3 linked regions of the Macaca fascicularis genome follow. The protein of the gene in region 1 purifies or fractionates together with the protein of each later gene. This does not show direct contact. Links are inferred from orthologs where the notes say so. Each region holds a gene or a part of one and is shown on either strand. Other genes may lie near its edges. The genes, in order: OSBPL9, VAPA and VAPB.

Region 1 (3,752 bases):
CTCCCACCACTTTCTCCCTGGCTCACTGCTCCACGCACACTGACCTCCTTGCTGATCCCTCAAGATGCCACGCTCACTCCTAAAATCTGGTCTTTGCATTTGCTATTCCTTCGTCTTGGAAGGCTCTTCCACCAGGCTCCCTCCTTCACTTTCTTCAGCTCTTTGCTTAAAAGTTACCTTTTCATTCAGGCCTTCCCTTCCTTTAAATTTGGGAATTTAAAATAGCAGCCCCAACGCTCTCTCCTCCCTTGATTATGTTTTTCTCCATAGCATTTATGATTTTTTTTTTTTTTTTTTTTTTTGAGACGGAGTCTCACGCTGTTGCCCAGGCTGGAGTGCAGTGGCGCGATCTCGGCTCACTGCAAGCTCCGCCTCCCGGGTTCCCGCCATTCTCCTGCCTCAGCCTTCTGAGTAGCTGGGACTACAGGCGCCCGCCACCGCGCCCGGCTAATTTTTTGTATTTTTAGTAGAGACGGGGTTTCACTGTGGTCTCGATCTCCTGACCTTGTGATCCGCCCGCCTCGGCCTCCCAAAGTGCTGGGATTACAGGCTTGAGCCACCGCGCCCGGCCTTTTTTTTTTTTTTTTTTTTGAGACGGAGTCTCGCTCTGCCGCCCAGGCTGGAGTGCAGTGGCCGGATCTCAGCTCACTGCAAGCTCCGCCTCCCAGGTTCAGGCCATTCTCCTGACTCAGCCTCCCGAGTAGCTGGGACTACATATGATTTTTTAATGTATGATATAATTTACTATTTATTTTACCATTCCCCTCACCTGTCATGAAGGCTCTGTTGTATCCCCAATGCCTAGAAGAATGCCTAGCACAAAATAGCGAATATTTATTAAATGAATGAATTTGTGGAATGAATGCATAAATGAATATCAGATATGAAATCTTTTGGAAGTGGAAGGTATCATGGCCAGTAAAATTATTTATTAATATGTTCATAATCTTTTTTCTTTAATCCCATGATAGATTGTAAATAATCTTAATAGCAGTATTCGCGTTTGCATTCTCGCATCCCTGGCAATGGAGTCCTACACACAATAGGCGCCCAAAGAAAGCATGTTTGACTTGATCGCTGGGAGCATCCGCCGGCACCGCCCAGGACCCGCCCCGAACCCGCCCCGCCCCCTGTAGCCCCGCCCCCCGCATGCTGAATGCCATATAGGCGAGTGACGTCAGGCCGTTTGTTGTCATTGGCGGCTCCCAAGATGGCGTCCATCATGGAAGGGCCGCTGAGCAAATGGACTAACGTGATGAAGGGCTGGCAGTACCGTTGGTTCGTGCTGGACTACAATGCAGGACTGCTTTCCTACTACACGGTGAGTCCTTGGAGGGCACAGCTCCAGGCGCCTCGGGGCCGCGTTTCCTGGGTGGAGGTGGGGAACCGGGGTTTTAGGTGGCTGAGTTGAGATTGCTAGTCTGGGGGTGCCGCCGTACGAGAGGGTTCCCTTGTTGGGGAGGGTTCTACGTCTCGGATAGCCAATGAGGGTGAGGGAGAGAGGGGCGCAGCCAATAAATAGAAACTAGCTGTCTGATTTATGGGTTGGGGGTGAGCCAAGTTTCTTTCTTAGGGTCCGCTGTTAAGCGATAGTGGGGTGCGGCATGGTTGTGAGTGGGTAAGGGTGGTCGTAGTCATGGCTTAAAAGGTCCAGTCGTGCGGTTCATGCCGTCTTCATATGTTGTCGTGGACTTGACACTGTCCCACCAGGCCCGGTAGCCGGCCGCACCCCTTAGCTTCCCTCCAGGGATTGAAGCGCTCTGCGTCTTCGGAAGAGTGACCGGAGGAGCCGGGACAGGTCCAAAGGTGACCAGCTCTCGGGCAACACCAGGGGGTCCGAAATCCCTCCAGTCGGTTCAGGTTGTGTGTCTCATTCAAGGGACGCACCCCTCTATTTAGCGGGAGGCGAGCTCAAACGACGCCTTAACTTTTGAGAGCAGAGGATTTCCTACACGCGAGTCTCTTGTCAGCGAAGAGAGACAAGGGATAGTGCAGTGTCCTCTTATAGTTATATTCTGGGTTCAGGGCTTCACTGTTAACATGAGTTGGTGGCTATGGACAAGTAGATGAATTGCTATGAATCTTATGTGGTTTTTTGTTTTGCTTTGTGTGTGTGTGTGTGGTTTTTTGTTTTTGAGACGGAGTCTCGCCCTGTCGCCCAGGCTGGCGTGCAGTGGCATAATCTCAGCTCGCTGCAACCTCTGCCTCCCGGGTTCAAGCGATTCTCCTGCCTCTGCCTCCCGAGTAGCTGGGATCACAGGCATGCGCCACCACACCCAGCTAATTCTTGTATTTTTAGTAGAGACGGGGTTTCACCATGTTGGCCAGGCTGGTCTTGAATTTCTGACCTCAGGTGTTCCGCCCGCCTCGGCCTCCCAAAGTGCTGCCGGACGTGAGCCACCGCGTGCGGCCTTGAATCTTATGTTTTGACTATCCCCTCCACCCTCATCGCATTCGATATGGAGGGTGGGTGGTATTAGGGAGGTAACTTACTTAGAAAGGTACTTTCTCCGAATGGTGTATAGTTAACGATAGCTGATATGAGGGAAGAAAATACTTAAAAGGACAAAATAGAATGCCCAGAAAGCTTTAGAAAATAATAGAAGACAGAAAGAAAAACATATGATTATGGAAGAAGGGTTAATGTTGATGAGAGAAAGGGGACACTGAATTTATTTGTTCATTTAAAAAATATCATTGAGCTGCTATGTACGTTTTCATGCCAGCAAGAATCAACAGTAATAAAGACATTTACTGTTCCTCTTCTCTGGAGCTTATATAGTAGCTTAGTGAGTCCTTTAATTCATTTCACTCCTAATGACTCTGCAAGGTGGTTATTCATTATCTCCATTTAATATCCCCAGTAAGAGTTTTGAAAAATGAGGCTCCAGGCTTTTAAAGCAATTTGCCCAACATCACATAGTACTAAGTGATGGAATCAGGATACCAAATTATTGACTTTTTCTACTAAACTTCACTTTCACTACAGGAAGGAGAAAGGTGTAAGTTGTGAGTTACTAAAGGCAAGCTTGCAAAAGTGAAAGTATTACTTTCATCATCCTTCAACTGTCAGCTTTCTTTCTTTACATAGTTTTTAAAGGGAAAAAAAGACTAAACCTTAATGAGTCTTAAACACATTGTTGAAGATTGTCTTTAGGTAGGCATGAAAGAGAGGCAACTGAATATTATATCCTGAAAACTCTGGAATTAATGAAAGCCATGGCTTAGATAAAGGAAAAGTAATAATGGGGTTTCAGTAGATGTGATAATCAGAAAATCCCATAAACTCTATTCAAGATAGAGTGATTTCAGTGAGTGGCACTATGCAGTTAAGTTACTTTACAAATCCCAAATTTGTGTGGATCTGAATCTAGGACCATACTGGAGAGGCCCCCAAGCTGAGGTTCTTGGGAATGCCTAGCCCAGAAAGAATCTTCCTTTTTCCTCTTTTTCTTCCTTTCATGTATCCTTTTTCTGCTTTATTGCCCTTTTAGTTTTTGAATACTTGGACAAATATCTCCTTTCTTACTGGCTAAATATAGGGTTTTAAAAAAATACTTTTTTTCCCCCTCAATACTTACCCTTCTTTTTGAGACTAGATTCCCTAAAACATTATCCTTGCCAGAGAAAGGAAGTATCGTATTTCTCACTAATGACTGTTTAGAATTTTTTTTTCTTTTCTAGTTCTTTGATATTAAAGTATTTGCTTACAGAGAAACAACAGAGAATTGTACCATCTTGTGAAAATAAAA
Region 2 (2,814 bases), on another chromosome or scaffold:
AAAATAAAACAAAAACCTTGGAGACCCACTGGCTTACAGAATTTCAGACCCTTTAGCATTTTATACACAGGCCCATCATAATTTTTTGCCATGTTAACTTTCTTGCTCCTGTCTGTTCACTATCCGTTTTAATTCCCCTAGCCCTATGGTTCTTAATTCACACTGCATGTGAATCACCTAGTGAGCTTTAAAAAGTTACAGTTTACCAGGCCTTCCCAAGACCTAATGAATCAGAATCACAGGAGTATCAAAAGTTCTGTAGATGTTTGTGATGTGTAGCTGAAACCGAGAATTACTACTGTTTTTATATAGAACTAATTAGCATGAGACCAAAAAAACCCAACTCCAGAAAATCCAGTAATGCAAATAAAACTGTGCCATTAGGTGTACTCTTTTAGTTAGTGTTTATTTATAAGCACAATAAAACAATCATGGGAGGTAACAGACACAGATAAAGACAACTGCATAGTTAACAGGTAGTAGTATTTTTCCCAAGGTTCACATTGCACACAGTGTCGTAACAACCTCCTGCCTGGAGTGACTTCTGCTTTCTTCTGAGAAACCTTGTCCTCTAAGGACATAGTGCTGTGTGAAGCCATATCAGCAAGGATGAAGCAGCCCACTCTTGACTGGAGGATCTGTCGTTTTGACACAGAGAAGCACCCTCAGTTTCCATTCCAGGTGCAGAGCTTCAGATAAGGGTTTCCTACATACATTTCTCATCTAAATTTGTAGTTCCTGAAGAAACAGTATTCTTTCTCTGCTTTGCAGTCCAGACCTGGTGCTATCCCTTTACACACAGCCCTCTGCTTTGCTTTGAGCTTGTGAAAACACTGTTACTTAAATTTCACGCTAAACCGTTTCCTTCCCCCCAAATTCTGTGACAACCGTATCTGTGTTTTTGGCAAGAATACCCTCTTGTGGCTCTGCTGTTTCGGTTCCTTAGTTGCAGTGGGTCAGTCAACCCAACTGGCAGACCACGGGTCCGGTAGTTTTTGACTGGGCTAGGACAGATGTAACTGATTTTAAATACCATGGGCCGCCTTGGAAGTACTCTTCTTTAATTATGTTTTTAGTGGGATTAAAATAAAAGGTAAATATAGCCATATCTGACTTTTATTTTTTAGGAATACATTTCTCAGCTCCAGTTTTAAAAAATCAGTGTTATTGAGGTATAATTTATATCCCATGGAGACACCCACTGTGAGTGTACAGTTCACTGAAATACAGAACTTTATAACTGTCACTGTAGTTCAGTTTTAGAATGTCCATCACCCCCGGAAAGTTTCCTTATGTGGTTAGCAGTTAATCCCTGTTTCTGTCCCCAGCCATAGGCAACCACTAATCTACTTTCCGTCCCTATAGATTTTTAGCTCCAGTAGTCTCATTAGTATGCTTGTTTTTAAAAACCTCTTTTGTGTGTTTGTTTTTTTCCTAGGATGAAGGTTTAAGGCTCAGAAAGGTAGCACATTCGGATAAACCTGGATCAACCTCAACTGCATCCTTCAGAGATAATGTCACCAGTCCTCTTCCTTCACTTCTTGTTGTAATTGCAGCCATTTTCATTGGATTCTTTCTAGGGAAATTCATCTTGTAGAGTGAAGCATGCAGAGTGCTATTTCTTTTTTTTTTCTCTTGACCAGAAAAAGATTTGTTTACCTACCATTTCACTGGTAGTACGGCCCGCGGTGACCATTTTTTTGTGTGTACAGCGTCATATAGGCTTTGCCTTTAATGATCTCTCACGGTTAGAAAACCCAATAAAAACAAACTGTTCGGCTCCTGGACAAATTGTATAGTACCGATCATCACTAGCAGATGTCAGTTGCACATTCAGTCCTTTATGAAATTCATAAATAAAGAATTGTTCTTTCTTTGTGGTTTTAATAAGAGTTCAAGAATTGTTCAGAGTCTTGTAAATGTTATTTTAATAATCCCTTTAAATTTTATCTGTTGCTGTTACCTCTTGAAATATGATTTATTTAGATTGCTAATCCCACTCATTCAGGAAATGCCAAGAGGTATTCCTTGGGGAAATGGTGCCTCTTACAGTGTAAATTTTTCCTCCTTTACCTTTGCTAATATCATGGCAGAATTTTTCTTATCCCTTGTGAGGCAGTTGTTGACTGAGTTTTTCATCCTTACAATCCTGTCCCATGGTATTTAACATAAAAAAAATAAAACTGTTAACAGATTCTTGCTCGATAGCTTGTCTGTGTCTGTCGTGTTATTGGAGGGGAGTCCACTATATATGGTCACTTGAAATTATGATGCAAAGGTTTGTCTTGCATTGAAACCCTCTCGGATATTACAGTGTTTTTAATTGAAAGTCCTAATTCTGTTCAGGAAAGGAGTTGATTAAATTTTGAGGTACTGCTGGTATTTTGGGAGATTATAACCAGTTTGTTTTCAAGATAACGGAAAATAAGGTCCATGAGAATAGAAGTTATGTGATTTCAGTGAGTTGACGTGTACAGCATGGCTGTGCTCCATCTGATTTTTACCCCATTCTTAAGTTCTGAGAGTATGTTCTCAAGGAAGATTTAACTCTCCTTGGTTTTAAAGTACTTTTTAACCAGCCTAGTAAGTCTTACTACTTTCCATAATATTTCATAATAGTTAAAAGTAGGTGTTTTTTCCTGCCCAATTTGGCACTCAAAATAATGTTCATTATGGAAGTTTGGTAATACTGAGCAAGCCTGTGGAATTTTCTTTATGAAAAATGATTTTGTCCTTTGCAAATGTTAAACCATGTGAAACACATTTTCAGTATAAGTATGTGTTACAGGGTCTGATATTTCCTGCACTTAGATT
Region 3 (3,687 bases), on another chromosome or scaffold:
GTAATCATGATGTAGAGTATCCATTTTTGAGGTCAAGCAGATCTGGATTCTCCAGCAATTTTTAATTATTTAACTTACTTGTGTGGTTATTTATTCAAAATGTCTCTTCACTAGGCTACAGTAAAAGGATTGGAATCAGGTTAGCTTTTCTGATCATTGTATTTCTAAATATTTATTGCATAAACAAATCGAATTTACTAGTAAAAATTCAGCACAGTGCCAGTTGCCTAATAAACATTTAACGTAGAGTAGCTTGTATTTATTGTAGCTGCTGTTGTCATTGGAAGCATTCAGCAGAGTGATACGAAATAAGCAATAATTGGTAGTTTATTATATTTATAATTATTATTTACAAGACGTCACAGTGCTTAGCCCATATCACTCACCCATAAACATCATGTTTATACTAAGTACTTTGACTATTATTCAAAGTCTCTAACAGTGCCTGGCACTACATAAGCAAGAGAAAAGTGGAAGTTTATTCTAATTGTTGTTACTGAATAAAGCATTTAACACGAGGCTGGCCCCCAGCGGACCCTTAATAGTTTTCGCGGCTGCAGTCGTAGCCGGACTACAAACCCCGCCTCCTGAGCAGCGCGAAGCCCCGCCCCTTGCTGCCCTGCAGTTCCGCCCCCGTGGCTTGTACCGCGCCTGCGCACTGTCCCGGGTGGGGCTCCACGCGCGCAGCTTTAGTCCCCGCCCCTGGAGCTGGCGGCGCAGGGCGCAGCTTCCCGCCGCCCGAGCGGGCCAGCCTGCTGCGTGCGTGCGTGTGTACGCCTGTGCGTGCGTGCGTGCGTGCGTGCGTGCGTGCGTGCCGTCAGCTCGCCGGGCACCGCGGCCTCGCCCTCGCCCTCCGCCCCTGAGCCTGCACCGCGTAGAACGACCCCCCCCAGCGCGCGCACCCCGTCGAAGACCCTCACCCGTGCCCCGACTGGTCCCCCCTTTTTTGTAAAACTTAAAGCGGGCGCGGCATTAACGCTTCCCGCCCCGGTGACCTCTCAGGGGTCTCCCCGCCAAAGGTGCTCCGCCGCTGAGGAACATGGCGAAGGTGGAGCAGGTCCTGAGCCTCGAGCCGCAGCACGAGCTCAAGTTCCGAGGTAAGCCCCAGAGGCCGCCACCTTCATGCTTGCGGCCCCCGCCCCAGTGCTGGAGGGACGGAGTCCGGCGCGGCGGGTGACGTCGGCCCTCGTCCCCACCCCGACGGCGCTGTCGTGGGGGCCGGCGAGGCCGGGCCGGGCCTTGGCGCTCAGCGCGCGCCCCAGAAATGCGCGGAGCGGCCGGGACCCTAGAGGACTGGTGCAGGAGCTAGGGCCTGTGCCTCCTCCCCGACCCCCAGCCTCCTGGGACTTGCCTTCGAGGCACTTGTCACTTTGCCTTGTAACTTAGTGACCAGTTTGTGATCACTTTAGTGTGAACCTCCGCCGCTGCTGTTGCCTGGAAGGTTCTTCCCCTGCTCTGTGACAGTGTTGACCTCAGGGTTTAGTTGAGGTATCACCTGCCCAGAGAGGCCTGCTGTGGCCACCCAGCCCACCGTGCACACCTGCTCTCCTGCTGTCCCCATTCTGTCACTGTTTCGTGGTCAGCACCGCACTTTTCGTACTCAAAATCACTGTTTCAACACTAGAAAGGAAACTGCATGAGGACAGGCTCTTGTCAGTTTGCTGCTGTGTACCCAGCACACATTAGACGCCTAGGAAATACCTGTTGAACCAACAAATGAACCTCCTCAGGCCTTCTGATGGGATTGGTCCCATTTTCCGTTCACTGCCTCCCTCATGGTGCCTCCTGGATGCAGCTGAGGGAGGCTGCCAAGGTGCTGGGATCCTTTTGCTCCGCAGAGCTGCCTGGAGCAACACCTGCGGTGGTGGGAAACCATGACCCTGGTTTCTCCCAGACACTATTATCTCTGTAATTTGTGCCTTTATGTTTTCTATGTTGTTCTTTTTTTTTTTTTTTTTTTTCCTACCTTCACCAGGGCCACGAGGTAAAAGGTCTGACATGCTCATTCCTTCTTTTTGCTTGTATCCAGTGATGTGGAAGGCACTAGGGAGGTGATGGATGAACAAGACAGACAAGGCCTCTGCTCTCAGAGAGCTTAGCTTCCGACGAGAACAGACAAACCAGCACACAACATCGTTACAGATACGTGGAAGGCCCTGGGGAGGTGATGGATGAACAAGACAGACAAGGCCTCTGTTCTCATAGAGCTTACCTTCCGACGAGGACAGGCAAACCAGCACACGTGATCTTTGCAGATAGTGCTAAGTGCTGTGTAGGAAATGGAACAGTTTGACTCCATGGAAGTTTACTGTAGATTGGAAGGTCAGGTCTCCACTATATCGCTAGCAGCGGGCTCACAGTAGATGTTCAGCTGGTATTAATGAATGGCCAGAGGTTCTCCAGTTTATATGTCTTATTGGGAAGTAGTGTAGGGTAACTTATGCAAAGTTACCCAGTTGGCAAGTGGTACATTTGAACCCAGACTTCAGAGTTCACGCTGTTAACCGTTATGCTGTCTGATCGCTGGGAAATACTCCAGAACGGTGGCTGTCACTTTGCCTTCCAAGTTAACAATGTGAAATAACTCTGAATTTACAGAGAACCAAAGGCTTTCCAATTAAAATGAAAAAAAACAAAAAAACCCCACCAAACCTACCGGGGATCGAAATTCCAGGATAGTACTTGAGGTTTCATGATGCGCTCATGGCTTTCTGGGAACGCCAGATTGGAAAAGGAGGCCAGGTGGCTAAAGTGGTGAGCCATGGTTTCCACTTGAGTTGTCTGAAGTTCTTTTTCTGTCTGGGAGGCCTGGCTTGGCTTCTCCTGAGAATTGGTGGGTTCATTCGGTTAGTCCACAAACATTTACTGAGTACCTGATCTGTGTGTCAGATACCCGGAGAAGCCAAGTCATATCAGCTGTACTCTCCCATTTTCCCTCAACCTCCTCCCAGTACTTTAGGGAAGGGGACAGATGAGAACAACAGCCAGGACAGGACAATGATGTAGGGTAGTTCAGAGTGCCCCAGGAGCATTGAGGAGGTCAGCTCCTGAAGGAGGTGTCATTTGAGCTCAGTTATAAAGGTTGAGTAGAAGAAGGCTCAAAGAAGGAAAGGGTGAGAACATTTCAGACAGAGGAAATTGCATGCACAGAGGCACAAACACTGAGATGACTGGGCTCCTTTGGGATGCCCAGTAGTTCTTTTTTTTCTTTTTTCTTTTTTTTTTTTTTGAGATGCAGGTCTTACTCTGTCACCCAGGCTAGAGTGCAGAGACGCGCTGTCTCACTGCAACCCCCGCCTCCCAAGTTCAAGCGATTCTCCTGCCTCAGCCTCTTGAGTAGCTGGGATTATATACAGGCGTGTGCCTCTACGCCTGGCTAAAAATGTATTTTCAGTAGAGACGGGGTTTCACCATGTTGGCCAGTTTGGTGTCAGACTCCAGACCGCAAGTGATCTGCCCTCCTTGACCTCTCAAAGTGGTGGGATTACAGGCGTGAGCCACTGTGCCCAGCCACCACTAGTAGTTGTGAATGACAGCAACAAAGAAAATTTGTTGTGGTTGCCCGGCAAGATGGCAGACAAGGCTGGTGAGTAGACAAGAGTCAGACCTCAGTCCCTTTATGCATAGATGCAGCCAGTGTCCAAGTTAAAATTGTGTTGCTTCTCCTTGAGCAGTCCTTCCTTGCAT

Evidence for each region.
Region 2: the proteins of OSBPL9 (region 1) and VAPA purify together in Homo sapiens (co-immunoprecipitation; 5 studies listed by BioGRID and IntAct, counting the BioPlex papers as one, with this or other methods). This does not show direct contact. The link is inferred for Macaca fascicularis from reciprocal best matches to the Homo sapiens genes OSBPL9 and VAPA.
Region 3: the proteins of OSBPL9 (region 1) and VAPB purify together in Homo sapiens (affinity purification with mass spectrometry; 7 studies listed by BioGRID and IntAct, counting the BioPlex papers as one, with this or other methods). This does not show direct contact. The link is inferred for Macaca fascicularis from reciprocal best matches to the Homo sapiens genes OSBPL9 and VAPB.

Annotation. Positions count from the first base shown.
Region 1 is NC_088375.1:183,120,489-183,124,240, reverse strand, and holds the start of OSBPL9 (oxysterol-binding protein-related protein 9), read left to right. Parts: upstream 1-1,132; 5' UTR 1,133-1,156; coding exon 1,157-1,321; intron 1,322-3,752. UniProt on the Homo sapiens protein: Interacts with OSBPL11 to function as lipid transfer proteins.
Region 2 is NC_088392.1:78,301,774-78,304,587, forward strand, and holds the end of VAPA (vesicle-associated membrane protein-associated protein A), read left to right. Parts: intron 1-1,438; coding exon 1,439-1,597; 3' UTR 1,598-2,207; downstream 2,208-2,814. UniProt on the Homo sapiens protein: Endoplasmic reticulum (ER)-anchored protein that mediates the formation of contact sites between the ER and endosomes via interaction with FFAT motif-containing proteins such as STARD3 or WDR44.
Region 3 is NC_088384.1:114,456,657-114,460,343, forward strand, and holds the start of VAPB (vesicle-associated membrane protein-associated protein B/C), read left to right. Parts: upstream 1-807; 5' UTR 808-1,039; coding exon 1,040-1,097; intron 1,098-3,687. UniProt on the Homo sapiens protein: Endoplasmic reticulum (ER)-anchored protein that mediates the formation of contact sites between the ER and endosomes via interaction with FFAT motif-containing proteins such as STARD3 or WDR44.